Linked DNA regions of Oreochromis niloticus. The protein of the gene in region 1 interacts with the protein of each later gene in a pairwise test. Links are inferred from orthologs where the notes say so. Each region holds a gene or a part of one and is shown in the gene's direction. Other genes may lie near its edges. The genes, in order: efhc2, plod3, ncdn and ccdc120b.

Region 1 (7,761 bases):
TTCCAAAAAAGATATTAAAAAATCCCCATAAAAATAAAAGCTATATAAAACACAATAATAATGTTTTAATATATTTACTATTTGTTTCTTTATTTTGTTTGTCTGTTTTGTCTTTCTCTACCACTAGGCACACCGGGTTATTTCGAAACAAATTCATCGATTTGGTCCATAAGCCACGGCAGGATTTCTTCTGCTAATTTAATAGTGCAAAAATAACCTAAATAAATGAAACCTGTTATTGTCAGGAATTGTTTTCCTAATATCGGTTAGAAAAATAGGGGGTTAACTTTTAGAAAACCATCTCCACTTGGAATGCACTCATTTAGAGTTATTCTTAAAAAACAAAATAGCCACGACCAAAACACCTTTAGCTGCCCATACCTGTGTCCTAACAACCTTCAGTGCAGTGTATTGGAGGTCACGCGAAACTTGGATGGAGTTGCGAGACTGGCAAAATCTCCAAATGTTTCATAAGAAAGAAAAACATGTATTATTGTTATCATTATTATTATTATTATTATTACATAACGTATAACGTTACATTATATGTAGGCCTGCCCATGTCTCGGTTTCTTTTTCACCGTCAAATTTATGCAAATGACGCCGGACGTGAAGGCAGCTGAGGACAGACCAGTGCACTCCAAAATGGCGAATAGCAAGGGTAAGGAGGCCTGTAATGTTATTGCATGTTGTTCGGATCCAGGACGGTCTCGACACCGTGGGTGCATTTAGTAACGTTCGCGTTGCTGCTACGAAGCCTTGAAGCCGTTTTCCCGTTTCCTCTGTGGCGCTGACTCTCTCTTGGGCCGCACCATTTACAGCTAGCATTAACTTTTCACCTGTTAGCTTTAGTTGTGTAGTCATGCTAAGTTATTGTTAGGCCCAGGAATTTTAGTAAGTTGTAATGGAGCCCGTAATGAAACTATTGGTATCTGCCTTTGTCATGATAGATCTTGTTAAGTAAAAAAGCAGGAAACTACTACAGTTTATAGTTGAGTAATGGATAATAGCGTCTAGAATCGTGTGTTGATTTTGTAGCATTAATGTAACTGTGCTTGTAAGGCTTGTCGCTGCTGCATTCATTGTTATTTCATGCTAGCTGTCTTTTATTTTTCCTTGTATGTACACAAGTGGAAGATGAGATTTACGACAAGGTCGTGGATCTGACAGAATACGCTAAACGTCAGCGATGGTGGAACCGCCTTTTCGGAAAGAATTCCGGCCCCATAGCTGAAAAATACTCTGTGGCTACACAGATTGCAATAGGTGGAGTGAGTGGATGGTAAATATTCTCATTAAAATGCATTATGCTGCCTTTAGCGTTCCTAGTTAAGCACTTCATGTAGTTGTAGTTCTAGTAAATATGAATGGCTGAGAAACACCCTAACGCAAAATTAGAAAATCTCAAGGTTAATTTAGATGGTTATAAATTGCTCTGTGTCTCATCTTGTTTACAGTATATTTTCTGTTGGCTGATTGGACACGGATGTCTTTATTTCTTAAAGTACTATGCAAAAATCTCTAGCCACCCCACATTTCCTTTGCTAGGAAAATATGAAATGTGTGCAGACATTATTTGAAACATGCAAACATATATGTCATACAGTATATAAAGCAAAACAGAGTTTATACAATACTAATGACCTTGAAAGTGATCAAGGTCATGAGTATTCTTCAACAGCCTGAAGTCTCCTCAGAAAGCTTTCGTCTAATTCCTTTAAGCACTCTTCAAAGATAGTTCTTCAAAGTTCTCCTTTGAATGCCTTTTGTTCCATTCTTTGTCATGATGATCTCACACTGCTTCAGTAATGTTGAGGTCCAGGCTTTGCACAATTGGTGGCTGACTGCGTTCCACCGTGTTTTTTGTTTGTTTTTTGGAGGGGGGGGGGATTCTATCCAGGTATACCTTTAGCAGCGTGTATGGCAGCAGTTTCATTATTTAGTTTCAGTTTCCAAATCAGACACTTTGGAGATGACATTGCATGGTGGATCAAAGAACTTTTACTGTGTTCATGAATTTATTACTTTTGACAAGCGATTTACAATCCAGTTCTTGTGTCATTTGGCATACCTCAGAACTTGGAAAGGAAAGTCCAAAGAAAAAACATTAAAAGAGCATCAGAAGGGCTGGAGAGCTACTGCTCAAGGCCACTTTAAAAAATGACCAGGAGGCCTGGCTCCTTGGAAGCAAAATATATTGAAATGAGGAGTAGCTCAAAACGTTTTGCACAGTATTGTATTACATATAGTGCATGCTCATCTCGCTGTTCACATGTTACTGTAGCAGAGAGACAAAATTGTATTTTGCCATCACTTAAGAAAACAAATTTCACACTCCCAACTTTATAACTCTGCAGTTAAGGTATCTTGCAAACAGTGTCTTAGTTATACTTTATCAGTGGGACCTTTCACATCATGCAAACCTTATGACAGTGAATGGCCACCTCACAATGGTCATTGTTAGGCTAACTTGTGTCATTATTATTGTTAGATCAGCTACTATGCTCTCTTTTCAATTTGCCTTAGGTGTGCAGGTTACCTCTTCCAGAAGGTTGGAAAAGTTGCTGCTACTGCAGTGGGGGGCGGTCTTCTGCTTTTACAGGTATTATTGCATCGCCCTGCATAAATATGTGCAGGTTAAGCTTTTCAACACGTTGACATTGTTTTCATGAATCTGTCTTTCTTCAGGTAGCTAACAACAGTGGTTATATCCAAGTGGACTGGAAGCGAGTAGAGAAGGATGTCAACAAAGCTAAGAAGCAGTTAAAGAAGGGAACAGATCAGGCAGTCCCTGAGCTCAACACATTTGTTGAGAAGGTAATTTTTTTGTGAGTTGTCTGGTTGATTGTGAGATCATTTTCACCCTCCCGTTACAATGAAAAAGCGACTGTGTCATATGAAATATGATTTGTATCTTTCAGTCCAGAGAGTTTGTGAAGAAAAACATTGTCGTCACAAGTGGCTTCATCGGAGGATTCCTTCTCGGCCTGGCATCTTAGGACCTACCGAATGAGAAGAGTGTATTATTGGGGGGTTTTTTGTGTTATGTTTCTGATGTTATAAAAAGCTATAGAGGATAATTATAAGTCTTTGCTTATAATTAGCAATATTATAATTAAGTTCTCAAGAGTTTTAACAGCAAGTGACCAACAGATACCAGTTTAGCTTGGAGCTCTGTGTTTTTACTTAAGCTGCATTGCAAACCCTTCTGTTTATAACATCGTACTTGCAAGTATTTTTGATATAGACGTGGGACTTATTTATTAGCCCAGAATGGCCGTCTTGAAACACTCCAGTTTTAACGCCAAATAATAATACATATCATGGAAATTAAATTAAAAAAGGAAACCCAACAGAATGTTTCTGTTATTATGTATTTATTAAAAAAACGGACAATGTTCCAGAAGGAAAGATTTCCCACTGTGGTTGTGCACAGTTGGGGCAAATAGATTTCAGTTCACCTACACATGGCAGGGGATGCATGTCTTTAGGGTATTCTATCAGTGCCACTGTTAATTTTTATATTTTGGTTCAACACGTTATAATCAATCATCTTCAAAGTAAACACTGGGTTACACCAGTCTTTGCAGTCTCTGTTTTTTTATGATCTATTATGTTTACCATCACTTTGGGTACTGAAGGCTGTGGTCTGACTATTATGTAAGTAAATAAAAATAAAGAAATATGTTGAATTGTGTCTAATTCAATTTACAGTGCAGTTTATTTAACTGTAAAGATGATGAAACCTAGTCTCTGATGCCTTTGAAGTCTGTTAGTATACATTCATCCATGCTTTGGTTCAATAATAATAATAATAATAATAATAAACTTTATTTATAAAGCACATTTAAAAACCAAGGGTATGCCAAGGTGCTTAACAAGTAACATAGAGAGTAGAAGGAAGATAATAGAAATAGGACCAAAGCAAGTACTAGGTATGCAAGCAGGTAGCTGTCACTGATACATAGGAAAGCAACAGGTACAGAGCAAACAAGAAATTAGAGCATAAAAGTGCATAATATAAAATCATAAAAATATTAACTAGAGCGAAAGGCAAGATTGAATAAGTGGGTTTTTAGTCGTGATTTGAACAGTGCAATGGAATCAGATGCGCGGAGGACAAGAGGAAGGGTATTCCACAGTACCGGGGCAGCCAGAGCAAACACGCGGTCACCCCGGGACTTCAGCCGAGATCTGGGTTGTGTCAGAAGTAGTTTACTTTCACTTGGATTTTGTAAAATGTTTCACATATAATTAGAAACAAAAATGAGCTGTTACTCTGGCCATTTATTTTTGTATGCCCTACAAGCATAATAGTTTACAGTTTATAAAGAAACAGGGTGTGTTATAATGTATTCTTAAGTCCAACTTTAATTTTTGCAGGATGTGTGTGGCATACATTAAATTATAATTTTTTTAGGTAGACTCAGAGGGCTTATAGATAGTGTAAAAGTTCCAGCAAGAATTATTTCCAAATCAGAATGTACAGTAAACTATAAACAGCAAGGTATTATTTACAGGGATAATTACTCAATTACCTTAGTAGAGGTGGTAAAAAATATACCAACTCTGATACTATTTGTAAACTTTAATATATAAATAGTACACAAGTACACAGTTTACTCTCTGTTGTACTTTTTAACTTGGAGGAAAAACAATGTATAATTTTTTTTTTAAATTTATTGGCTATGTTAGCATCAAAATATACGATGAACAGCAATAATTTGAATATTGTTATGAAAATAAAAATATTTTATTGGTTCTTTTTGTTGCTAAGAGACGTGTCCCCAATAGACGTTTCCATGGTAACAGACCAATAACAGACCGTTGGAACTTCAGGGCTGCTGAGTTTTATGGAGAAAGTAATCCAACAATTATAAGTATTACCACTATGGCTTTACCGTTTCTGCCAGGGAACTCTCCCAATGAAAGAGTAAGTTTAAGACACTTCGTATTTTTCTCGCAAATTACTGAGTTTCGTTAGCAGGCGACTTCCTTAGCTAGAAACTAACCCCAGGTCGCCTGTTAGCTAGAGAGCACTTAAGCTCAGATAAAAGTGGTTGTACGAGTGGGTGAGTGAGGTATGCTGTTTAGAAAGAGCTTTGAGTGCTCAGGCATATAAGAACCAGTCTATTTAACATGTTTTTAATAGAAAGTGCTCAGATATACTTTCTCCTTTCTGTACCACAGCTGGGGAAGGAGAAATTCCACAAATCCCAACATTTTGACTATTCCAGTGGAGTCCCTATGCTGGTTGGGTCTGAGAAGCCAGGCATTGGAGGAGAACATTTAGTTGGTCAGGAGATTAAATCAAAGTACTCCGTCTATCCTATAGGAAGTGGTACCGGTTTACCACCATGGGTAACCTTTGACAAACAGGTGAATAATAGAAACTGATTTTAATTGTCCACTCAGACAAACACAGACACGTATTATGGTATAGCTTTGTGTTATTTTTTTTACGTCTGTTATTAAGGTTTAAAGCTTCCAATAGCTTGTGTTACTCATTCAAGTAAAAAAAAAAAATAAAACCTGTTATTTTTTAAAGCCTGTCATCATTTCACTAACTAAACATTTGTCATTTGAGTAATTTTAGCCACAAAATATCACTTTGTCCTTCTAGGTTCTGTGTTTTGATGCATACTTCCAGGAGACTGTACCTGAGGCTCAGTCTGAGACGTACAGAATCAGAAAGTGTAAGATCTACTTCTTCCTGGAAGACGATACCATACAGGTTGTGGAGCCGGAGTACAAGAACAGTGGCATTCCCCAAGGTGTCTGTGATATAACAGGAAATATCTTGAGAATATTGCTTAAATTCAATTACAGCCTCAATAAATAAATAAATAAACAATTAGACACTATGCAAAATGTAAATGGAAACAGAATGCAATGAGTTGCAAATCTGATAAACTCACATTTTACTCATAATAAAAAGTTGAAACATTTTTAAGAAAAAAATAAGGTCACTTTGAATTTGATGGGCGGAAGATGAAGAAGAAGAGAAGACAGAAGAAAAGCTGTCCCATTCTTCTCTTATAGAATTATACCTATGAAAGTTGTTATAGAGGCAGTATGTGTTTTAGCAGTGTTTTGCAAGTATACAAGACCTTCACTGAAGACATCGTCTGGATGGGCGCATATGTTGCTCTAAAACTTGTATATGCATTTCAGCACTGATTGCACCTTTCCAGATGTGCACACTGCCAGTTCCATATTCACTAATGCACCCCCATACCAGCAAAGACGCAGGTTTCTGAAGTGAGGCTGATAACAACCTCTATGGTTCCTCTCATCTTTAGTCCCAAGGACACTGTGAAGAAATAAAAAATCAAATATTGCATTTTAATTTGTCTGACTACAGATGCAGTCTATTTTGCCTCTGTAAATTTTAAATGAGTGTTGGCTCAGAGAAGATGGTGGCGTTGTTCACATACAGTTTCTTCTCTGCATGATTGAGCTTTAACCGTTTCTGCCAACCATTTGTGGACAGTGAACAGCGATTTCTGGAAGTGTTCCTGAGCTGATGCAGTGATTTCCATGACAAAACCATGCCTGTATTAGATGCCTTCGGGGTGGCGATGATCATGGGCATTCAGCATTGATTTTCAGCTTTGTCTCTTGCAAAAAGACATTTCTTCAGACTGATATGGTTTTATGAGTTTGTCAATGATTGCATTCTGTTTTAATTTACATTCTACACAGCGTCCCAACTCTTTTGGGATTAGGTTTGGACTTTTGTTCATCTTCTGCTTTTTCCCAAGTGGCCCAAAAATGCAATATGATGAGAGTTTCCAGACCCGTTTGTTACCAATTCTGTGTTGGTGATCCCTGTCATAGGAACACTCATTCGTCGCCACCGTATCCCACTGCCTCCTCCAAATGAAGGCCAGTTCTACAACCTGTTCCATTTCAACATCAACCAACAGATGAAGCTGTACTCTCGCACGTTCACTGTGACTGACTGTGACGCTTTCACAAGGAACTTTCTGACAAAACGTGGGGTGCACGTAAATAACCCTACCACTGTACCTGAGGACCCCTACAGCAGCCTCCGGGAACAGGTGAGCATCCGAAATACATTTTTTGTTGTTTGTATTTTATTTCAACTCATATAACTCTGTCGAACTATATTTTAATCCTCCTTTATTTATTTATTTTTAAAGAAAGTTATAGTGAATAATTTATTTGTTTCACGCTCTCAGCTCAAAAAGAGTATGCAGCCGCTTCGGCCATATGAGAGACATGATACGCTGAAGCAGTTCTTGGACCATGACCGCAAAGTCCTGCGCTTCTACTGCTTCTGGGATGACTCACAGAGCATTTATGTTGACTTGCGGGAGCTCATACTGCACTACTTCCTGGTTGATGACACCATAGAGATCCGGGAGGTGATCCCCCCAAATTCTGGCAGAGACAAAGTGAACAAATTTCTTCGTCGCTGCAGACTACCTAAGGTAGGTAAGGCAGCGTGATAAGAGCGCGATAACAGCTGTCGAGAAATGAGAGAATAAGGAAGAAACGCACAGACAGGTTTATACAAAAGGGTAAATAAGGGCTTTTTTGAGCTTGAAGTTTTGCTATTTCTTTGTTTTAGTTAACATTTAAAGATGGTTACTCCTAACCTAAAGGCTTGCAGTGTCCCTCTTTCTGGTTGTGTTGCTTCTTTTCGTCTTCCTGCTTTCATGGAGACCTCATTCACTCTGACAGGACTGCTTTAGCACCCAGTTTCCCTCAAGCATGTAGGCTTTCTCCTCCAGT
Region 2 (7,404 bases), on another chromosome or scaffold:
TAATTTGGTGGAAACCTGAAATACACTGAGATGTTAAAGTTTTTTAAAACTAGTTTTAAAACTATTAGAAAATTGCTGGCATAAAAACATCTTGAAAGAAATATTATACAGAAACAAGTACTAATATTCCCACAAAAAAGAGTGTAGCATGAAAATGGATCACACATACACTCTACTCACTCACCTAGAGGATCAACATCACTCAGGTTGGTGCTGTTGATGAGCTTCCATGAGCATGTTTCATTCATGTAGACCCAACACTCATATATTCCAGGGTCATTATTCATCACATTCTTCAGAATCAAATTCCATAATGTAGCATTCATGAAAGAAAAAACCCAGTTTTGAAAAGATGGATCCTTCTGAATGAACGTGACCATCACGTAATAAACACACATATTTCTCCACCATTGGTTTTATCCACTTTACAAGAGTCATGACTAGGGATGGGTATCGTTTAGGTTTTATCCGATACCGGTGCCAAACCGGTACTTTTGAAACGGTGCCGGTGCTTAAACGGTGCTTAAACGGTGCTCAAACCAGTGCTTAAAGAATGGAGAACACAAAATTGGTCCAAAACCCTCTCATGTTTAATTGTTTTCCACTTTTTCTTTGGTCATTTTAGCCTTTTTGGCCAGGGTGAAGGGAGTATCTGCCATCAAACAAGAAGACAGTAACTACGACGGTGTTTGCTAGTTCACCTTACATGCATTAATGTAATAACGTGGTTAGCGTACTCAACGTTAATTACACACGAACAACATGAAGCTACTCACGCAGAGAAGAACGGCTGCTGCTGCCATCATCATCCTCATCATTTCTGCTACACTGGCAGGGCTAGGGGCCAGGACTCTCCTCTTCGGGTTTTTGGGGGATGTTGCTAACTCCGGGTCCGATAACAGGCACCACACCCGCAGTAGATGTGCACGGTGTGAGGTCTCGCAGCAAGCTATCAAACACAGCGCATTTCTCGGCTTTAAAAAACCCCGCTATGCGTCGCCAGGTGTTTCATCAGATTTGAGGTGTTACCTCCTTTGACAGTATCACAGTATCAGCTTAAAGCACTTGTTGCAGGCTGCTGAGTTTGCATCTTTTGCTGTGAAGTACAGCCAGACTTTTGACCGCTTCTCCTTGGACATTTTTAATCTGTAGCTCTGCTCTAAAAGAACGCGCGTACCTGGCCCCGGCTACTATCCTCGGAAATGTAAAATGATTGGCTAGAATTGGCTCAGGAAAAAAAAAAGCACCGAAATAAAGCACCGAAATGTGCGCTGCTTTTCGGTCTGGTTACTACCGTTTATGTCAGAACCGGTGCCACACCGGTACCCATCCCTAGTCATGACTATATTGTCTGGAGCTTGACATAGCAGAGTGACATTTTGTCCTGTTTCAGCAGAGATGTTTGTCTGAAGAAAATGAAAAGGGAAACAACACAAAGCAGAACGGTTAAATTAACTGTTCACTTCCACAGCAGCCCACCACCGTGAGGCTCACTGCTCAGTAGTATCAGACAGGTATAGTAAACAATGGGCAGAAGAGTTAACTCACTTGAACCTGGGCGCACACCTGTTGCTGACAGACATTTACTTAATCAATACAATGATAACTCTTTGGAGCATCTTGTTTTTATTCTAATTAGGCTTGCACTTTTTCCTCCTTCAGTTATCACAGCTTCTGGTGATAGGATACTGACTGCCTTTAATTTATCAAAAAAAAAAAAATAGCCTGCTATATCTTTTCCTAATTGCTTTTTCTTGATTTGATGGAAAACGTTACGACCACAGGGATATAGATTTGTATTTGCTCGAGGATTAGGCATTTTGGTTTTTCAAAACAGTAGGGCTGCGCAGCATCTCTGTGAAGAGCGCTGTGTAGGCGCTGTTTAAATGCCGTTGAGTGTTGTAAGCCGGTTTAAGCAGATTTCATTACTCTCCGTCCAAAATTGACTGAACATCTGTGTTAAAGTTGCCAAAGAAAGAGTAAAAATGATAATAACTTGAACTCCGTAAGCGACATATAACCTTAATGTCCCTCCTGCCTCCAAATGCAGAGCTATAAAATTTTACTTCAGATCAATAATCTAAAAACAAGATTGTGTGACTTTAATCCTTATGAGTTTAGCATTAGCATTAGCATTAGCATTCCCATATCGATCGAGAAATAAGAATTACTTACTGTTGTTTTGGAATCAGAGATTGCTTTTTCAATCATTTTGAGCAACAAAAACAAACAAAAAAAAACTTCACTGTCACTTTCCCAGAATCTGCAAGTTATTTCAAAACCTTTCTACCGCTCTCTATAAACAAAATGCTGGAAGAGACAGAGCATCGACCCTGTCACATGATGGTGGGGGAGGGGATGGAGGATAGTGATGTGTCGGTCGGAAACGAAACGGCTCTTAGAGCCGGATCTTTGAAGTGAACAACGCGAGCCGTGTTTTTTTTTCTCTCCCATCCTCTCTCTTTTTTCTTTTCTTTTTTCGCTTCACTCTGCACGTGAGCTTTGTGCTTTGCGCTGAGCAGAGAGGGGAGGGGCGGTAGTTACACTCACAGTTGCACAGGAACAGAGCGGGAGGGAAAGAGAGAGAAAGAGAGCCAGGGACAACAACAAGAGACAACAACATCACATTAAAAAGGTATAGTTATTATTATTATTATAACAGTAATCATCCACAACTATTTTCAGTTGCGAATGATAAAGTATTCAAAAAGTTTATTCATGCAGTGAATCCTATGCAATTCCAAGGAGGAAAAGACTCGCCCAAAAATCATCCCAGGCCTATATGACAGAGAATGTGCATCTTCTTTTTGTTTAGCAATGTGTTTTGGAGTTTGCATGTACTTTGTCTCTACAGGCCACCATATATATTTATATATAAACATATATAAATAAAACCACTTTTTTTTAAACATTATTAATTCCTTTTGTGTATAATTTTATATTGTTGCTGATAATAAATTAATTAAAGCAACAAAACAACCTGAAGAGCCGGTTGGGAGCCGAAAGAGCCAGTTCTCTAAAAAGAGCCGGAATTCCCATCACTAATGGGGGAGTGGTCCTATCTCAGTTGTCATATGGCAACCGGGAAAGGTCACCAGTCTGTCACAGAATTTACAATATACTGAATAATATTGACAATTACAGTGATATTTGACATTATATAGCAGGATGTTTTGTTAAAACATCCTGCTATATGTTCCAGACTTCAGCATGGTCACTTCCCACTAGTTAATGCAGGGATTACTGTGATATGACTGAAATCTGTTTAATAAAAATTAAAAATACAATAACTAAATGTTTGATTTTTGTAATTGCTAACAAAGTGTGGCTACTGTCTCTTTCTCCAGCTCTTTACTTTCATATCTTGAGTAAAGAGTTAAAGAGTTAAAGAGTACAAAGAGTTAAATACTGTCTTTAAACTAAAATAGAATAGATTTAATTGTCAATGTTACAAGAACAAGGAAACACAGCACAAATTTCGCCTCCGTGGGATCAATAAAGTCTTATCTTATCTTATCTTATTCCTGGTCCCAGTTGATTAACACTGTGTATTGTTGGGCCCCTTGTTGTGACACTGTGGTGTAGATTGTAGCTTTATTAAATCCTGAGACACACAGAAAGAAACCAGTGATCTAGAGTTTAGAACATCCCATACATCCACCCTCTAATAAGGTATGCTTTTAGCTTACTAGATGGTAAATGTAGAATAAATGCTGGATTGCTGTATTTACAGAACAGTTATGATTGCAGTCTCTTCTCCCAGCTCTTTACTTTTATATTTTGAGTCAATTATTTGGGAGAAAGTGATTCTTTTCTTTTCTTTTCTTTTTTTTTTTCTTTCTTTTTTTTTTTTTTTTACAAAAGAGCTAAAGAAAAACGATTTTGAAAGTTTATTCATGCAGTGAATGCTATGTATGCTGAATGTCAGTAAAAGAACTCACAGTATTAATATTTCATTAGGAAAATGTTAATTGTTTCTTAAATAAATTATGTAAATAAATACTAAATTATGATTACATTTTGGGTCTAATTATAATGATTAAACATCATTATAATTGCAGACATGCAACTTTAAAGCTATATAAAACCTCTGCCGACGTACGCTCTCTCTCCGTTTTTCCATGTCCTCGCTATGTCTCTCCCTCTCCCTCCCTCTCCTGAAAGCCTCAGACGTGGCAAAGATTCACGTACTCCATTTTTCACGAACTTTCTGTGGTTTAGCCCACCGAAAAACGGAGAGAAAAAAAGTTCCCATCTGTCTGCCTCTTATTGGCTGGTGGATTTCCGACTATCTGCGCTGATTGGATACCAGCTCTGTCCGTCAAAGCTGTATCGCGCCATTTCTGCTCTCATTGGCTGGATAGCTTTTTGCGGTTTCTGTCGACTTTATCTTAAAAGTCGGAAAAGGTGACGAGTATCGCGAGAGTTGAGTGCCGACTGAGCGGTGAACGTGAAGAGAGAGGGCTGGGGAGAGAGGAGAAAGAGTGGACTAAAGCTACGGCCTACAGTCTAAAGGGAGCCGTTTCCAAACATCCAACATGTCCTCCTGTTTTCTTCTCTGCTTGCTGTCTCTCGCCTTTTTCCAGGGCGCCGTGTGGGCCGAACAGCGGAAGCTTTCTCCAGGTAAGACCGCTGTGCGGGGTCCCCTGGCCGGCCAGGCGGACCACCGTAACCCGCTGGAGCTGTGGAGCTCCGGGTGGTTTACGGAAAGGCTGCTCATCACGTCACAAACCTATTCACTATTTTCAGAGTTTATTCCGTTATTCTGCTGCTGGGTGAGTTTAGGAAGGATGTTTATTAATGATTAAAACCGTTAGCGCCACAGGACCGTTAGCAAACTTTAACAGGGGTCCCTGCTCCTTTTATAACCTCATATACTCTTATTGTAATCCCTACAGGTTATTAATGATTCCCTAAACTCTGGAAAATCTTAATGCGCAACTTCGTTTCTACTGCGGATACACAGTGTGGTTAACATGTATCAGTTTTAATCAAAGTAACACAAAGGTACGAAGTGCTTCACATATAGGATAAAATTCAAATATTAAAGAAAGTTAGACATCCCCACAAACAGACACACATTCACGCAGGGATGCTTACATCCAGCAGTAAAGATTACAAATCACTGATCAACCCACTCAAACGAGGTTTTACAGCTTCAAATGAAAGCTGGGACTTTTAAAATAGTATGATTGTTTTGATTTAATATTTTACAATCATATAAGAATAAAGAATTTTAGTTAACTGCATTTAAATAAGTCAAACATTTATTGTAAGTGGATTAAATTAGTTTTAAAAAGCCACTGTGGGAGCCCACAGCATGTTTATGTAGCAGGATTAATGATTTCCATCATGAACCTCTCACGATGATGTTTTACACAGAATAAACGTTTTTAAAAAGAATAACCGGTTTAAATCTGATCTGTGTTTTCCATATAGTCCTGTCTTTGGTGCCCCTGTGAGGTTTGTTTGCTCAGCTGTGGTTTGTATTCATGTTTATATTACTTATGTGATGCGTTTTTAAAGGGAGCAGAGTGAGACATGGGACACTGAGGAGGAGATTTCCTTCTTGTTGTAAACCTTTTTTAAAAAGTTAACAGACACTCGGATAGTAACAGAAAAAAATAACTGAACAAATGAGGTTTTTAAATATTGGACTGAAATCTGAAGCCATTTTCACTCATTCATGGGATCCAGTTTAAAGACTTATTTTGCTTTATCCTGAGATTAATTCATTCATCAAATCAATAATCAGTTTTACAGGTTCTTCCTCCTTCAGGATCTTTGAGTATGGCTGCTTGTTTGTAGTTGAGACACAGACGCTACGTCCAGATGAACAGAATCAACTTTTGGAGATTGAGACACAGTCAAACCGAAGTCCTGTGCACTTTCCTCATATTTTTGGTCTTTTGATACATAAAAGTGAATTCTTTGCTTGCACTTTTATCCCAGTCCTGATGCTTGTTCTTCAGAGGAACACCAGGATTGTTATATTTTAGTAAAACCCCTTTTTTGTATATATAAAGAAGCTGTTAAATTGTTAATAATAGATAATAAGCTGGTGTTTTAGCTCATCTGAATGCTTCAGATATCTGAGCTCACAATGAAGTGTCTCAGTTTTTCTCAGGTTCTATGGCACACAACACAGCTCAGCTGAAGACGTATTTCCCTAAAACACCTCAGACAATCACAGACACAGTGAAGTTAACCCCGAGAGGCTGTACCTCTGTCACAAAGTGAATTTGTGAACCAGTGAGAACATCTTACTTAAACTCGCCTTCTTCCTCTTCCTCTGGGAGGTCGTTGTATATCTGAGCACTTCCTCCATGTTGTGCTCAGCGTCTCTGAATCTGACTTATGACACTGAGCATGACGAGTTTCTATTGGCTGAACTTAACAGAGTTGGTTCTCGTTATAACTGCAGTCACAGAGTTTGTGTTTCATCAGTTTTTATTTATTTTTTACATTTCTGTTAGAGACTTTTATAGGAGTCATTTACAATGTTGACTCTTCTTCATAACTGCTGCAGATCTCTGTGGCTGTTAGTTAATCACAGTTTGTAGGCTTCTGTTTGTCCACCTGCTTTTTAAGCACTGATCATAGATTGTGGATCAGATTAAGATGTGTCCATGGGCCCAAGATGTTAATTTGGGGATCTCTCCGAGGCTCTGTGTTGTCATGTCTTCTGACATGGTGCTCCCATCAGGCTGGAAGATGCTCCTGGCAGGTTGGAAGAAGGTGGTTTTTAGTGTGGTCAGTCCTTAGAAAGCTGAACAGGGATCAGCTCAGAGCCCAGATGAGGCCGTATGGATCTCCATCAGCTGGGGTTTGTGCCACTGATGAAAATCCCAGCTGAAGTCTGTCGCATGTGGAACTTGAACTGCAGGTTTCCGGTGTGAACCCCTCCAGTCTGCAAAATGGAAAATCCTTTGTGTACATGGAAATGGTCGGTAGTAGGACTGCCACAAACGATTATTTTGATAGTCGACTAGTCACCGATTATTTTTGCGATTAGTCGACTAATCAGATCATGCATCCATTGGATGTAAAACGTACAGCTTATTGCACCAGCATGCATCTGCTCTTATACAACTATCATTAGCTTACAGCTTTAAGTGTTTAAGGTATGTGCTAACTAAACATAAAGACAAGATGAGAGTTTATTAAATTTTAATGAAATTTGCAGGTTGTTTAGGTGAAGTTTAATAAATTCAGCCGTCTGCTCCTTGCTAGGTAAAATATAACAGGACACCGGAGTATATTCTCGAGCATCTCACACTTCTGATAATCAGTTGTCTGCTTGACGTTTATTCAGCTGTGTAAAAACTAGAACTTTAATCTCAGCCAAACTGATTTACTCGAAACAAATAAAATACTGACAAAAGCAAAACGATAACATTTTTA
Region 3 (7,719 bases), on another chromosome or scaffold:
TGTATTTGTGTGTGGGAGTGGGCTGGAGGGTACGTATGTATATATATTTTTAAGTTGTATCTGGTATCTCCAATCTTGGGGCAACACTGGTGTCCCCCAGGAAGAAGGTTACAAGTTTAAACCTCCTGGCCAGTCCTGAGCATTCTTTAGGTTAATTCATCATGGCCATAAGTGTGGATGTGAGACAGGATGTACCACGTCGCTTGCCTTGTGACAGCTCAGCTAGGTTCATCCTCATTGTTAAGCTGGATAAGTCTGTCCATGTATACAAACATCCACCTACTTCCTTCTGCTGGATAAGCAGCAGGAAACGGCTGGCAAAAGTCTAAGCAGAGATACCGAGATAACAGTTTCCATGCCAGCCGAGATATAATCACTCCAGTGTGTCCTGGGTGTGCCCTAAGGTCCCTTCCAAGTTGGACTCGAGCCCACCTCAACTGCTGGATTAGTCAATATTGTGTTTGCCATCCTCTGGGGACTGTATATGGAAATTAGGTATGACGCATGCTTTGTTTTGTGAGGTCAGTGTTTTTGTGCATGGTCCCTGTCAAATAAATACCAAAGCTCCTGAAACACAATGTTTAAGGCACGGCCAGGCCTCTTCTCAACATGGCCTCACCAGGAAACTACTGTGGGGCAATATAGTAATAAATCAAGCTTTCATATCCATCTGTTGTGATCACACTCTAAAGAGGTTAGCTAGATGCTGTAGCCATATGGCTGGAAACACATCCCTAATCCTCCACATTAGTAATTAGCCTGTGCCATCGGTGCCAACCTCTGCAGAGTTACTACTTTGTTGGTTTAAAAAAAATTGAATAAACAGAAAATATAGTTTGAGAGAAAGAAGTAATGTTTGTGTAAGGCACTGTTAAAAATGTCCTGATGCTTTTACTAAACTGATAATGATCTTATTTAAACAAAGGTAAGCATTAAAAGTTTAAACAGCACTGTTTTCTTGAGACAAACCTACAACTATGTTACTTACTGCATTTTTTAAAAGGAAAACGTGGTAGTATCAAACCTGTATTGCTGGTCTGATTCCTTATTCAAATCTGCATTCCTGCACGTGACACTGGAGCACCGAGCAGTCTCTTTCTCTGCTGTAGTCACCGGCTCAGTCTGTCCAAATATCCAAACTGCTCCGTATCCCGCTTTTGCTTATTTTTCTCTCCCTGGTGAACGCCCAAAAGGGGAAAAAGCTCCAGGTGAAAATGATCCAGTGCAGAAAATGGGCAGGATTCAGTTAGGATCCGGCAGCCTGGACAGCGTGGATTTAAAAAAAAAACAAAAAAAAACAAAAAAACATGCAGCAGCTGCCCTGAGGCACGTGGTGACTTTCACTGTGTTGCAGCAGTAACGCTCAGGTGCACACGGTCACCTGGGCTGATGACAGCTTGGCCATTACTGACTTTTTAATGGCCAGTTCACCCATGAGGGGTTTGTTCCAGAACAATGATCTCTGTCACCGAAACCCTCGCTCGCCCGCCCTCTCTCTTTCTCCTTCTCTCTCTCTCCTCCTCTTACATCTGGCAAATTCTCTCCCTTTGACTTGTTTCTTCCTCCTCTTCCTCTCTCAGCAGGAGCAGTCAGCTCTGCATCGGCTTCTCCGCAGACAGGCTGATGTAGCTTTTCTCTGTCCCACGCACAGCTTCCTCCAGCTGCCACAGGGAAGGAAAATCAAGTTTTTATTTCGCTTTCAGGCAGCATACCCAGGAAATAAATAAATAAAATGAATAATCATGACAAACTGCTTATTTTGTTGTGACAACTCTACAAATATCCTTAGAGCAATAACTACACTAATCCTAAAACAAGATTAAAAATGGAAGACTCAAAAGAAAGTACGAATACATCACATTAGTCTTTAACTCACTTTAAACATTACTGTTAGCCTAGATCTTGGTTTTGGGTTTTCTCACTTATTGCATATACAGCGCCTTCCATAATGTTTGGGACAAACACAGTTTGTAGTTCTGCCCCAATCACAGTGGATTGCAAATCAATCAATATGTGACTGAAGTGCTGACGTTCAGCTTTAACTCAAAGAGCTTTATAAAAATTTTACATGTACTTTTTAAGAATTACAGCGACTGCTATACACAGTCCCCCAAATTATGAGATTCAAAATTAATGAACATGAATTGAAAGACTCTTTTTAATACCTTTATGAAAAAAAAAAAACTTTGCCTGAGGTCTAAACCCATGGGCATCACCAAATGTTGGGTTTCCTTGCTTGAGTTACTCCATCAGATCTCTATTACAGCCACCTTCACTTGCTGCTCGTTTGTGTTTGACAATGGAAAAAGCGTACTCCGTTGGGTTTAGATCAAGTGACCGATTCGGCCATTGATGAATATCCCATTTCTTTTCCTTGAGAAACTCTTGGATTGCTTTTTCAGTTTGCTTTAAATCATTTTCAGTTTGCACTGTGCAGTCACATCATCAGGGAACACTGGTGACTTTGTTCCACAGCCATACACACCGATGCCACAACACTGCCTCCACCATGTTAGACAGATAATGTTGTATGCTTTGGATCATATTCCATAATTTTCTCTTCACATTATTCTAGTTCAAGTTAAACTTGGTTTCAGCTCTCCCAAGTTATTATTATTATTATTATTATTCATTATCATTATTATTATTATTATTAGTCACAGGTCAAAGAAGTACAAAGGTGTGGGTAACAAACGTGTGCCATTTGCAAGGACTCATAGGATTTCCGTGAAATCATTATGTATTTTAAACGGAGCAACTGAAACTAGATTCACTTCTAAAGTGCATCTGGGTCTGGGTCTCAAGTTACATAGCAGAAATTTTGACCCCCGCTTGAGCCAGGCTGCAGACTCAGATTCTCAAAGGGGGTTGCTCTTGGTTGCTCCTTAGATTTAAATCTAATGGTTTTGTCATCAGGTCCCCTTGGCTTTGGAGTGACCTGCCTGAGGAGAGAAGGCTTGCAAATCTCCTTAAAAAAAATCCTTTTAATACTTTTCAATTTGCCTTTTATGTCTTCTCATCAGTGACATCTTTTTACTGTCCGGTTATCTGCTTTCAGTTATTTTGTTTGTGGTCTATGTTGCCTGTTCTTGGTTTTTTATTGATATGTGTACACATTTTAATCATTCTTTTTTCAAATCTATATTTTTCTGTTTGTCAAATCAAATTTGTATTCCTGTTATGATAACAACAACAACAACAACTAAAAGTCATTCTTAGTCATTTCATAACACCAAGTATTTGCCTCACTAAATAAAAAACGTTCAGTATCTGCCAGTTTCATATCAGAGATGAAACGTAGAGGGACTAAATAAAGAACATTACTTCAGCCTCTGCTGGCCTATTTTATTTTGTCAACTAAATGACTGATAAACAAAATAACCCTGATTTGCTGACTAAGCTCCACTCTTGTCTCTTCTTATTCCCGTGCAGCCCGTAATGGACTGCTTAAAGCGCAAATTGTTGCATGTTTGACTATATGAATTAAAGTCTGTCAAGTCAAATGAGACGCATGAGTAAACGCACTGGAAAAAAAACACAAAAGCCAAAAAACCCCCCCCCCTCATACTATTAAGACAAAATGGTGGGCTCGTGCATTATGTATCTTGCGAAACTGAAAAATCGCTTAGGATTTACTCAAGACAGGACAGGACGTGTTCAGCTGTCAGATAATTCAACACAGGCCAGTATCTGCCCACAGCACAGTCTGCTGCACTGTCATAATATTATAAACAACTGTGTGGGGGGGTTGATGTATTAACCCAAGTGCCACTTGCGCGCATTTAGCAGATGTTATGTTGGCATGTCGACGTCCAAGCACTGACACTGGAAGGCTGAAGTAGCCCATCGTAAGGTATTTCACCTGTTTAATCCCGGGATCACTCGCATCCAAGGCACCTTGAGGCTAACAGCTGCTGACATCTCTCATCGGACCCTACACAATGCGTTTTAACGGCAACTGCCCCCAGTAACACAAGAGAGAGAATGCGTGCACGGACTTACACAAACAGAAAATGGTAGACTTTCTCTTCAGCTGCTCGTTCCGATGTGTAGTCTCTTGTTGTCCCCTGCTCTCCAAATTAGGTCAGTACTCCTCTCGCTGATACAGCTGATATGCCGTGAGTGAGTGCTTGACTGTCAATACAGTGCCTTTCACGAAGGGTTCCGGTGGTGAGATTTTCAAAACAAAGTAGGCAGTGAAAACAGCAGTTATGCGATGGTTAGTCAGAGCAGTTTAGCGTGTTACATCTGCAAGTAAAACCGAAAATCCTAACTAAATAGCTATATAGTTTTAAGAACCTGGATATGAGCCCATTTTATTTCTTGCGATACAGATTATTCTTAATTTTTCTTTTTTAACCAGTTGTTATTTTTATCATTTTCTATTTTTTAAATTATTTATTTATTTACACGTGGATTTTTGGTGCATAATGAAAACACCCTATTTATTCATCATTTCACGTACAATACAAATTAAATTAATTTGTTGTCTTAAGCTGAAAACGTTCAACGTGCATCCAGCTAGTTCCGGTTTACGCCTCCTAACGAGGAGCCGTTTAAAAATGTAAATGCTCAACTCAATGAGTGCTAATAAACTTTTTCTCTTTTATATTAAAAAATTAATAACGTTTTTTAAAAAATAAAATTAAAATGATAAAGCTGGATAACCTCGTTTATCTGACGTTACGACACGGGCTAAAATGGCGGTGTCGCCTTCCAACAATCCGCGTTATGATTGGTTGCCTGATTTTCTTCGGGCCTTTTTATTGGCTCGTGACATCTTTAGCTTGACAGTGTGTTTCCGGGGGGAGTGAGCACGAGCAGTTGCGGCGTGCAAGAGGGTTGTCAACAAAGTAAGTTGCATTGTTAACGTTCACCTGCTCAAATTTTAAATTTATATACATGTACAATTTTTGTCAGCCATTAGCGGGACAACTGACAGCCAGTAAATTGGACTACTCCCGTTAGCCCAGCGATGTGGCGCTGCGGTTTCTTGCAATCAGTGCTTGAAAGACTGATTGGAAATTCATTGAAAAAGTTTTTCTCCTCTTTATGTCTCTCTCGGTCGCATAGTTACCGGGGTCATAATGGCTGACAGTGCTGACTTTACACCCACCGTGAACAGCCAGTCTCCTGGAAAAGAGGAGCAGGGAGGAGGTGAAGGTGGAGGAGGCTCAGAAGGGGATGTAAAAGGCGGTTTGACTGATGCCCAGAGAGGCGTCTTGGAGAGGTGTGTGCATGCGCTGAAGCACGCTAAAAACGACAGTCAGACGTTGGCTGCTCTTCTTCTGGTAAGTATTCGTTTAATTTACGAATCGAGATAAAAACGTGAATATTGTTAAAGGAGTTGATATAAAACTATTTTAAAATTGATTTTCAGCTATTTGGGGATTAAGCTTCCCCAAAATGATTGAAACTAAAAACTTAAGGGAGCTTTTCTTGGTCTGAGCAGCCAGTTGCATGTTGTTCGTTGTTTTTGTTTTTTTGTTTTTTCATAAATACAGTTGCGTTTACCAAATTCATGGTTATTTGCAAACATTGTTGGCTTTTTTTTTGTTTTTTGTTTTTTTTAACTACCTCTGCAGCCCTGCATGGGCAGAAGTATTGGGTCACACCTCCTAATCTTTTGAATTTTCAGTCTCATCGTCACAGGTGTGTAAAATTAAGAAACCAGCCAATTAAAACCTGAAACAGTGTTTTCTCAAGGGTCTGTTCTTGGCTTTAACCTAAAGCTTTAAAGCTTCTGCTTGGTACTGTCATAAAGAATTATAATACCTTTCATTCTTATACAGATGGTACACAGTTGTACTTTCCCTCTAATCTAGCCCCTGTTCACAAACTGAGCTGCACTGATGACATTAACCATTGGATATCTAACTATTCTTTTATAGAACTGAACAGAAACAAGACATTTATATTTGTTGTTACTCCAAAGTGTACTCCAAGCAAATCAGGAATCTTGGCATTATTTTGGACAGTGATCAACATTTTTGATAATCATATCCATAAGGTCTCCAGAACGGCTTTCTCCCACTTCATTTTCTAACTGTTGATTACATTTTCTCAAACTTTCTGAGAAATTGGTCCATGCATTCATATCTAGCACGATGGCCTGCTGTAATGCTCAGTTTGCAAGACTATCAAACCATCAGTAGGAGATTTCAGCTTTCAAATTTCACAATGCACCAGCAGTCATTACATGTACATCAAAGTACATGTAGAATATTGAAGAAACTTCATTGACTCTCCCTTTAAGGTGGAATTTTAAATTCATTTCCAGCTATGTCTACATTCTAAAAACAAACTCAAAACCTTTTTTTATTCTCACAGGCTTACAGTTAATAACTTTTATGGGGGGAAGAGAGGAGAAAAAAAAAAAAAAAAAAATTCTTTGAAAAGTTTGTCTTAATGCATTGTAGGCCTACACGTGTGGGGTTTTTTTTGGGGGGGGGGGGGGGGGGTCATTTATGTTAACCACATTGAGTTTGTGTGTAATGAAAGGTCTTTTGTAAATAAAATTGCCATTGCTGTGTCTGCCTTGACAAATGTGGGTAGAAAACGCATCATGAAACTGGCTCAGAGTGGTGAGTAATCTGATGGACGGGTCTAGGTTTGCAAATGCCACAGCAGTTACTTGCCTAACTGTATTGTGCTAACTATAAAGTTTGGAGGACGGATGTTGCTTTGGGGTATTTCATTCAAGTGAATGAGATCTTCATGGTTCAGCTCACCAAGAAGGTTTGGACAACTCCGCTTCTAGCTTTGTGGGACTAGTTAACATCGAGGTTCCTCTGTTCCAGCATGTCTGCCCCAGTGCAGAAAGCAATGTGTCATAAAGGCATGATTGGATGAGTTTGGTGGGGAAGAACTTGACTGGTTGGAACAGAGCCCTGACCATCAAACACCTTTAGGTTGAACTGGAACAGAGGGCATGCCGGATGAATGAATGGACAACAAGGAATTGCAAACAGATGAAAGTATCATTAAAAATTGCGTGCTATAACACTGTTTGTTTGGGGTGTTTTGTTTTTTTTTGTTTGTTTTTTTTTTTTAAAAGTAGACAGATTTTACTGATATGTTAAATTGTGCCTCAACAAAGACTAATTCTACTCTTTCTTCACATCCTCAGATAAGTCGCTTGTGCCCAGCCAGTGAACTGGACAAACCCATGTTGAGGCGCATCTTTGAGGCAGTGGGCCTCAATCTTCCAGCTCGGCTTCTGGTCACAGCAGTCAGAGGGGACGAGAACTCTGGCTTGCCCCCAAATGAGCTCCTTTCGCTGGGCACGGCTTTGCTGGCTGCCCTGAGCACAGAGCCAGACATGGCCTCCAGTCCCCAGCTCCTCGCCACCGTCCCCCTCCTGCTAGGCATCTTGGTAAACGGTCCTGTGTTTACCCAGCAGAAACAGGAGGCCCGGGAACAGCACCAAGTAGGGCAGAGTCCAGACGGTGAAGTCCAGTCAGCAAACATTTCAAACCCAGACTGTAATCCTGCCAGTGTGGCACAATCTGCAGAAGAGACTGAGAGCAGCAAGCAAAAAGGTGATGATGGCAGTGAAGCAAGCAGAGTGTCGACGTCTCAGGAGAACCCTCTCTCTTCCAGCCTTGATGCGGCCTTGGCTGCTGACTGCTACCTGGTTTTGACAGCTGTGTGTGCCTTACCCAGAGGCTCGGAGCTGCTCCTGAGCAGGGGCGCCATCTCTGCTTTGTGCCAAGCGGT
Region 4 (7,766 bases), on another chromosome or scaffold:
GTAAAGCGCTTTGGGGTCCTTAGGGACTATTAAAGCGCTATATAAATACAGGCCATTTTACCATTTACCATCTTTATATACCACAGTGTTTAATAATTCAATACACAGGCTAAAAAAACCCCTTTAAAACAATAGACTGTAAATAAAAGATGGCACCAAATAGTTTTTAGCAAATTGAATTCTTAAATTTAGCTTCACAACCATCAATATCTTTGTTTGTTCTTATTTATTTTTTAAATTTCTTTTAGCCATAAGTGAGCATATTTGGACAAAAAGTTAGAGTGCTGAATTGTAGTTAGCCCCCGCAAGATGTGCTGGCATGGTGTATGAACTGTATGGATGTGTACAACAGACACAGCTAGCTGCTAAGTAGTACAAAGTAACAGTTTAATAATGTTAAATTATGTAAAATTCACCCACATACAGTTGTAATGAAAGCTAAAATTAGATATAGAGGGGTTTTTTTTGGGGGGGGGGTGTTATTTATTTAATTATTTAACCAGACTTTAACATTTGGGTGTTTTAACATGAGATTCTGTGGGATCTCGCTTGTTTTATGAGCCAGCCTCAAATAGCAACTTGAGGAACTACAATGTGCGGAGTTTCTTTGTGGGCTCCCCAGAGGCTGCTACCCGATACCTCACATAATCTCCATTAGCAGCGTCAGAGGTTTCCTGTAGCTGCAGACTTCTGCAAAGGATTCATTTCTGTCCACAGATGGTTTCAGTTTATTAATAATAAACTGTGTTGTTGGACTCTGACACAATTTGATGTGCAGGTGTGGGCTGGGTGTAGTTTAATATTTATAATTTTGCAGTGAGTTAAAGACTAAGGCGTCACTCTCATGAGACCAACTTTGTCAATACAGGAGCAGCAAAACAGATGGGATGCAGAGAGAGCACAAAGTGGCAGAGAAGCTACAAAGCAAGTTGTTGAAGAAGAGAAAGATGAGTTGCCCATGGTAAGTGTCCTGCTGAGGCTACCCCCGCCCCCCACAGGCAATCATATGCGTATGTATTTTTATTCGTTTGTTGTCTGCAGATTACACAGATCTTCAGTTTGGCTGATAACCCAGTTGGGACTGGTGCAGATGCAGAAAACCACCTCATGAAACTACTAGACTCTTTACGCTCCTCTGTACTGCCCATATTGTGGTATGCTATAATGGTGGAGGGCCCGCAGCTGCAGCTCATCCAGTGTTCTAAGCAGTCCAGCATGACCGACACCATGGTGCTAATCGACCCGGGCTTCTTCTATCAGGTCACCGTCCAAAAGCAACCGCTGCTCCCCACCCACCCGCTGTACGACTGCTACCCAGCACGTCTAACCTCGGTGACTGAGGTGGTTAATTTGCTTTTTGGGTCTGGAGAAGTACTCTGTGTGCCAGGGGGATGCCTCCCAAAGAACCATTACATTATAAAGACCCCATCATACTGGAACGGTCATCAACATGTGATTTCCTGGTTAAGAAGAATGTGGGCATTTGTAATAACTGCAGAGCACTTCAACTTTAACGTCATCACAGACAGAAATGGAAAATAAATGTGAGCAGAGTGGAGACCACTGGTTTTCTAGTGACACTTTGTGCAATTTTATTTTATTTTTTGGTGATGATGTATATCAAAACTTTACAGACTTACCTCTGGACTGTAAATGGTTTATTTTAAGAATCACCAAAGGCATTTCAGGAGTTGTGACATTATAATCCAGGCGTGTTTCTTCTCAGACGTTTTATTATGTAGGTGTAGGGCTTTTCTACTTGACTGTTATGTGTCTTGGCTTTGGCAGTGTGCTGAAGTCAGCCCTCTGTGTGGTTAGTGTGCTGTTGGTTGATTCACACTCTTACTTGAGGAATATCCCTCACCCTCCTTACCACTATTACACATTTTAGTAGCCCTTTCAGACAACTGTACTACTAGAAAATTAGCCCACGTGTTTGATTCCCAGCATTAACACTGTTGTCATGCTACCGGGTTCGTTCATACTATATACAACAAAGTTAATAGAAGATTTGTTTTGGTAAAAACAAGTGTGCACCTCAACTGCTTTCTTTTTTAATTTAATAATATATTCATTAGTGTCATCACTGTTGTCACTAACACTCCATTTATTAGCACTCCATTTATTTGCATTTTTGCATTTGCTCCCAGTGATGATACTAAGGCTGGAAAAATGTGAGGGAATTAGAAAGGGTACCCGGTGGCAAATCAGATGTGTTGATCCATCTGATGTGGTGACCACTTGGGAAATAAGGGAGCTGCCAAAGGTACCTTTCTATTAGAACTAGTTATTTAAATTGAATTATGTGATTATTTCAAATTCATGACCATTCATACTGGATTGTAATGATGACATGTTGATTCTGGGCTGAAATTACAAGCATTTTTTAAATATCTTAATCTGATTGCAAAGTAGACTATCATTTGATTAGCTCTCCCACTGAAGGCAGAATGTGCTCCTAGCATCAGCATGTGTGGTGTGATGAATTTCATACGACCTTTAAAAATGCATTGAAGTTGTCCCATGACAGGAAAAAAAGTACAATTACCTTTTGAGGTTTGTTCTCATAAATAACTAACTTTAATCTCAAAACTTTTTTTTTTTAAACAGCTGTTGGGTAGGTCAGCTTTTTTGTAAACCTAACCTACCCTCCTTTTTTGCTTTCATAGGGTGAGTTTTTGTTATCATATTGCATCAGAAATATCTGAAAAGTGGGAAATATATCATCACAAACTGACCTAGTATGGATATTATGCTAAATTTGTATTCACCCCATTACTATGACAGTCTAAAGTCATTTGAGCAGAACCCACAAGCTATAAGTAGGAGCAAGCCACTGTTTTAAAAAATATCCAAGACATCTGAGATAGTAGTGATTTTCCAGAACATACAGTGACATTACTGGTCAAATATTTAATTGAATATTCCCCAAATAAAGAGACAGTGTGGATGGTTATGCAAAGTAAGTATAAGTAACACTTAAAAAAAGGTACCTTTGTGTAATCCTATGTTGGGGTTGTTGTACTTGTAATTTCTCTCAATTTTAGCCCAATTTGATGTCTAGTGAGAATATTTCACACTATATCTACTGAAAACTTTATTCAATGACCCGGTATTTAGACTTGACACTAAAAACATTGTAACACCTTTTAAGATCTCAAACAAAACAAAAAAAACAGATGAAGATGAATGTAGTTAAACATTCCTCACAAATCTCAAGCTAAAACCCAGCGACAGGATTACAGTTGTTGTGACTGGCACCATGTTAGCTGAGAACAGTAAACTTTCCTTAAAGGTTTAGTTTCGGTTTTTCGAGGTTTTTATTGTTTTTAGAACAACATGCTCTTGTCAAAGTGATGATGTAGCAACAATCATCGTACAGATGACTCTGAAATAATAATATCTGAAATAATAATAAGCACTTAATGAGTCTTCTTCTGTCTCTGTTCTCGAGTAGTATAACACTTGGCCTTTAATTGTATTTTCAGCCATATAATGTGTTTTGTTTTTGTTTTTTAAGTGTATAATAATTCAGTTTTTACCCCCCATTACAAACAACCTCCTGCAAGTTTTAACAATGTGAAATTTTATGCATTCTTGATGTGATTTTTTTTTTAAATGTTGTTTTCCTCAAGTAATTGTGCATATGTTGAAATATTTGGGAACAGTGGGTTATTCCTTTAAAAAATATTGTTATTTAGTCTTTGAATTAAAACATATTTGAAGAACTGACACTGGTTTTCCTCATTTCTGGTCATTTTTGTCTTTGAGTATGTAATGTTTGGTGATAATGTTAGAATATTTTGTATTATTTTACAATTGATCAAATGTGTCCAAATCATCAACTGAGTAGAATTAATTGACTTAAACTTTATATGCAGTAACATCAATTTATGTGGTTGCTGTCTGCTAATTATTGAGTTTATGGTTGAGTCAGTGGAACACACAGCCTAAAGAAAACATATAGCCTATAAAGCTAAGCAAGTCTTAAACATACTTTGATCAGTTAATATAAATCAGACTCTAGAGAGAGTTGATATACATTTGACAAGAAGCAGACTTGACTGCAACAGTGTGATGTTCAGAGTTCAGCTGTGCCTTTAACAAGCAGTTATCACTTTGTCGGTTTTGTTGATCGTTCTCATGAGCGGTCAAAAGCTTTGCTATGAATTCTCTTTTCAAAAAAAGATGCTCCAGCTTGTCCTGTACTGAACAACATAATCAAGGAGGAATCAAAGTGCTGTACTTAGGAACTTTCTGACGTAAAACTGGCCCTTTAACCACAACTTTCAGTTTCTCCTCTATGATGTGTTGCCAGGGCTTTAGTGCAGCTGTTGTTTGAGAATCTCTCGCCTTTAACTTTGTCTTCAGAGAGTGAAATGTGTGCTTCAGTCGGTTGGTAACAGGTGTTTAACTTGCCCTCTTTAAAAAGTCCTTTTTTGTGTGGAGCCACTTTTTTCTCCCGTTATTTGGTGATGTGTTAAAAAATATTTTAATTTGTATAAAGCCGTTTCTGTATCGGATACACTTCTTAATACTTACAGTGAATTTTCTTAAAACATTTGAAGCCCTGAAATTAGTCCAATATTAATCCAATCCGAAACATTAAAAAGTCAGCACTTTAAATGAATTTGAATGCGTTTTTTTACACCAATATACATATACCAATACACGTTTATTACTATTGAAGTTATTGAATTAAGGATGGAAGAACGCAATTAACTTCCCATTAAAAAGCCATGTTGGGCTGCTATAATTTTGTATGGTGCGGTCCAATTTAACTCTGACATAGAAAGCAGTAAAACTAAAACGACTATTTTAGTTTTTTGAGTTGAACGTATCAGTTTTTAAATCTGGAAAAAGTCTCTTGGGGGTTTGGGGAGGGTTACCTTGCTGCACATGAATCCACGCTACTGTGCAACACCTGGGTCATATTCGTATTAGCGGATCGAGTGGCGCACATTGAAGGCATGTACCATCTGGGGAGGGGCATCGTCGCTGTGGTCGTGGTGGAGTCAGCTGGCTGTGTGAAAGAGAGCGTTTTCATGCCGTGCAGAAAGCAGGTCTGTTGAGATGCGCAGAGCTCCGACGCAGCGGAGGTCGCGAGGCTGCTGGTGAATTACAATTGGGATAGTGAAGCATCATGAACGGGCAGCTCTTTTCCGTGGATCTCCGCACATTTTGCCAATAAAAACAAGCAGGAATGATTTTCCTCCCCCTGCTTTCGCTCCAGAGAACCATGGAGACCTCGCAAGGCATCAGTCATGCTCTCTGGTAAGAGGGGATTCTGCTCCAAGATGTCCTTTTCCATCCTAAATGGGCGTATTAATTAATAGCTACCAGTACGGCTTTTAAAAATGATATATTTTCTCTATAAAATGAAATGCATCGGCCTAAACGCGAGTCCGCAAGACGTCCTCGCATCTGTTCACGCATTTAGCTCGTGTGAAAAGACGTTTGTCATCGTGGCGGGCTGTGACACACCTGCGATGTGTTATCGCTTCCATAATGAGTCCGGTGCGTTTCATTATCAGCCGGTGCGCCGCCGTCTGCAACGGCTATGCAGATGCGGGGATCAGCGCAGACTGGATGTGCGAACGCGTGCTTTATGTTGAGCCAAATCACATGTCCGTACGATGAATGCGAGGACCGCATCAAGTGAGAGCCTCGCGTTTGTGTACGCGTTGTGCCAGAAAACAGTGCAACGGGTCGTTTGTGTGGCACGCTCGTCAGGAGGCAGGGGGTGGCAGAACTGCAAGAACGTCTCAAATTCAATTTTTAAAGGAGTGAAAATGTGTGCCAAGCTTCCCGGGAATGCATAACTTCTCCCCTGTTGCTGCATTGTTATGAAGCAAAAAAACAGACCCGAACATCTTGTTACTGCCGTCTCCTGGGCCTTATTGCTTCTCTCCTCTCATTTATTAATACTGCTCGGTCACATGCAGCAGCGTTAAGCTCCTATTATTAACAGATCCCTGAGCGAGCCTGTCCGCCAGGATCCCTTTTGGTGGGGTGGGCTCGTAAAAATGTGTTGGTGCCTTTTACAGTGAGTCACTGTACTCCACCTTTTCGCGTTTCTGGGAAACACCTCTGTTTTTTACTAGAGGGTTTTCCTTTGAAGCCTTATGCTCATTGCTCCTATTTTATTTACAGTTGTTAGTGCAGGGAACACCAGGACATTTACAAGCAAAGGGGTTGGTGTGCTGGGAGACCATTCTCATGCTCAGTTTCCTCTTGATCACAGGGATTAGGATGAAACCAGTCATGTTAGTGTTTCTGTTCACCCGTACAGTACAAAGCACTCCCTTTGGCCTTTGTGTTTCAGTACAGTTCAGTCACATTCCATGGAAGTGGACTTTGACCCAGATAGCTTTGTCACAGTTGCATTTTTTTAATACTTACATTTTTTAACTGGTTGCATCAAGGTTACACTATTTTTTTCCTTCCTTTTAAATGATCCCCTTAAGACATGGGCTGACACAAATTTGAACATGTGGTTCTGTAGTTGGTGAATGACAAAACATGCAGGTAAAGTACAGTGTGAAAAGAAACACTGGCTGCTTGATCTGATTCTAGTCATTTCACTACTTCTTACTAGCACAAAGACATAGAGTTGCAATGAGAAACATTTAGCTTCATCTAAAGTATCTTGTTGCTAGAACCAGGGAATAAAGTCTGATCAAGCGACTGTAGTACTACAGATGGGGGAGCATATTCACCTACTTTTCTTCAAAACACAAAACAATCAGATCAAGGTCCTTTTGTGTGTAAATATTGAATGTAATGGCGTGGCTGCTGTGGCTGCACTTCATAAGTCTGAGCGAAACAAAAGCACTGAACTCTTTCCAGAATCAGCAAAGTGGATTACAGCAAGCCACAGAGCATAAAAACAGCTTTGGACATACAGAAATCCCTCCAGGTGTTACAGAGCAAAGGAAAAATGTATAGCAATAATCCCCTCGGACATTAGAGTCACATTCCTTTCTTTATTACTCCACCCTCCTCTCCTCCAACCTCAGCTTAGCGGAATCCAGGTGGATAGCAGTCACTGGGCTTTGCTTTGTTTTGCCTGTGGTAGTTGTGTCAAATGTAGAAAGGTGAGCATCAAGGCCCGGGGAGGGAGAGAGGACGAGCTATACGATTGGTCAGCCTTGGCTAAGCTGCCCTGCCTTGTGCTGATAAGTGCATTATAAATCAGTATTTCATGGATATAGAGAGCAAAACGAAGAGATCACATTGGTGCGCGGGGTTGGTTGGAGGGTCACCTGACCCCTGCATAAGCCCTCCATCCACAGTTGTAGGGGTTGCCCAGGTGGAGGCAGCTCTGAATCAGCCGTATGTCTGACCTTGTCCAATCTCTTGTTCGTTGAATCATAAATTACATCTTCCTCCTTCTTACATTTCTACTCCCATCCTCACCAGCAAATCTCACCAATGGCTCTACAGTGTCCTTGGGGTCTGATAGTCAATGTTTGGGAGTTGCATTACTGTTCTCCTATAGATTAGATCAGTATGGCTTTAGACATGGAGAAATGCTGTCCTGGTACACCAGTGAAAGCAGTGAGGTACTACTTTGTAACAACTGACACAGACAGTGGTGCAAACTGTAGTTTTTAACTGTCTGCTGCCTATTAACTTCTCAGGAACCAGCGTGGGATCCTCATGCTAGCCTAACAGGAGCTGTGTAGTCGTAACCCTCCTCTGGTTCACATGTGTAAGTTGACAACAGCAGCAGCTGTGTCAACACCAGCGGTCAACATGAGGGC

Evidence for each region.
Region 2: the proteins of efhc2 (region 1) and plod3 interact in binary tests that used the Homo sapiens proteins (3 or more experiments, as listed by UniProt). The link is inferred for Oreochromis niloticus from reciprocal best matches to the Homo sapiens genes EFHC2 and PLOD3.
Region 3: the proteins of efhc2 (region 1) and ncdn interact in binary tests that used the Homo sapiens proteins (3 or more experiments, as listed by UniProt). The two-hybrid records come from large-scale screens. The link is inferred for Oreochromis niloticus from reciprocal best matches to the Homo sapiens genes EFHC2 and NCDN.
Region 4: the proteins of efhc2 (region 1) and ccdc120b interact in binary tests that used the Homo sapiens proteins (3 or more experiments, as listed by UniProt). The link is inferred for Oreochromis niloticus from reciprocal best matches to the Homo sapiens genes EFHC2 and CCDC120.

The regions. Positions count from the first base shown.
Region 1 is NC_031987.2:31,111,082-31,118,842, reverse strand, and holds the start of efhc2 (EF-hand domain-containing family member C2), read left to right. Parts: upstream 1-4,759; 5' UTR 4,760-4,891; coding exon 4,892-4,933; intron 4,934-5,190; coding exon 5,191-5,379; intron 5,380-5,623; coding exon 5,624-5,774; intron 5,775-6,840; coding exon 6,841-7,064; intron 7,065-7,205; coding exon 7,206-7,457; intron 7,458-7,761. Other genes in the region: fundc1 (FUN14 domain-containing protein 1), read left to right, coding at 592-661, 1,132-1,282, 2,527-2,602, 2,689-2,817, 2,922-2,999. UniProt on the Homo sapiens protein: Microtubule inner protein (MIP) part of the dynein-decorated doublet microtubules (DMTs) in cilia axoneme, which is required for motile cilia beating.
Region 2 is NC_031967.2:75,612,054-75,619,457, forward strand, and holds the start of plod3 (multifunctional procollagen lysine hydroxylase and glycosyltransferase LH3), read left to right. Parts: upstream 1-4,397; 5' UTR 4,398-4,538; coding exon 4,539-4,623; intron 4,624-7,404. UniProt on the Homo sapiens protein: Multifunctional enzyme that catalyzes a series of essential post-translational modifications on Lys residues in procollagen. Plays a redundant role in catalyzing the formation of hydroxylysine residues in -Xaa-Lys-Gly- sequences in collagens.
Region 3 is NC_031985.2:13,970,750-13,978,468, forward strand, and holds the start of ncdn (neurochondrin), read left to right. Parts: upstream 1-4,703; 5' UTR 4,704-4,853; intron 4,854-5,073; 5' UTR 5,074-5,087; coding exon 5,088-5,291; intron 5,292-7,129; coding exon 7,130-7,719. UniProt on the Homo sapiens protein: Probably involved in signal transduction in the nervous system, via increasing cell surface localization of GRM5/mGluR5 and positively regulating its signaling. Required for the spatial learning process.
Region 4 is NC_031970.2:31,353,685-31,361,450, forward strand, and holds the start of ccdc120b (coiled-coil domain-containing protein 120), read left to right. Parts: upstream 1-4,751; 5' UTR 4,752-5,274; intron 5,275-7,766. UniProt on the Homo sapiens protein: Centriolar protein required for centriole subdistal appendage assembly and microtubule anchoring in interphase cells. Together with CCDC68, cooperate with subdistal appendage components ODF2, NIN and CEP170 for hierarchical subdistal appendage assembly.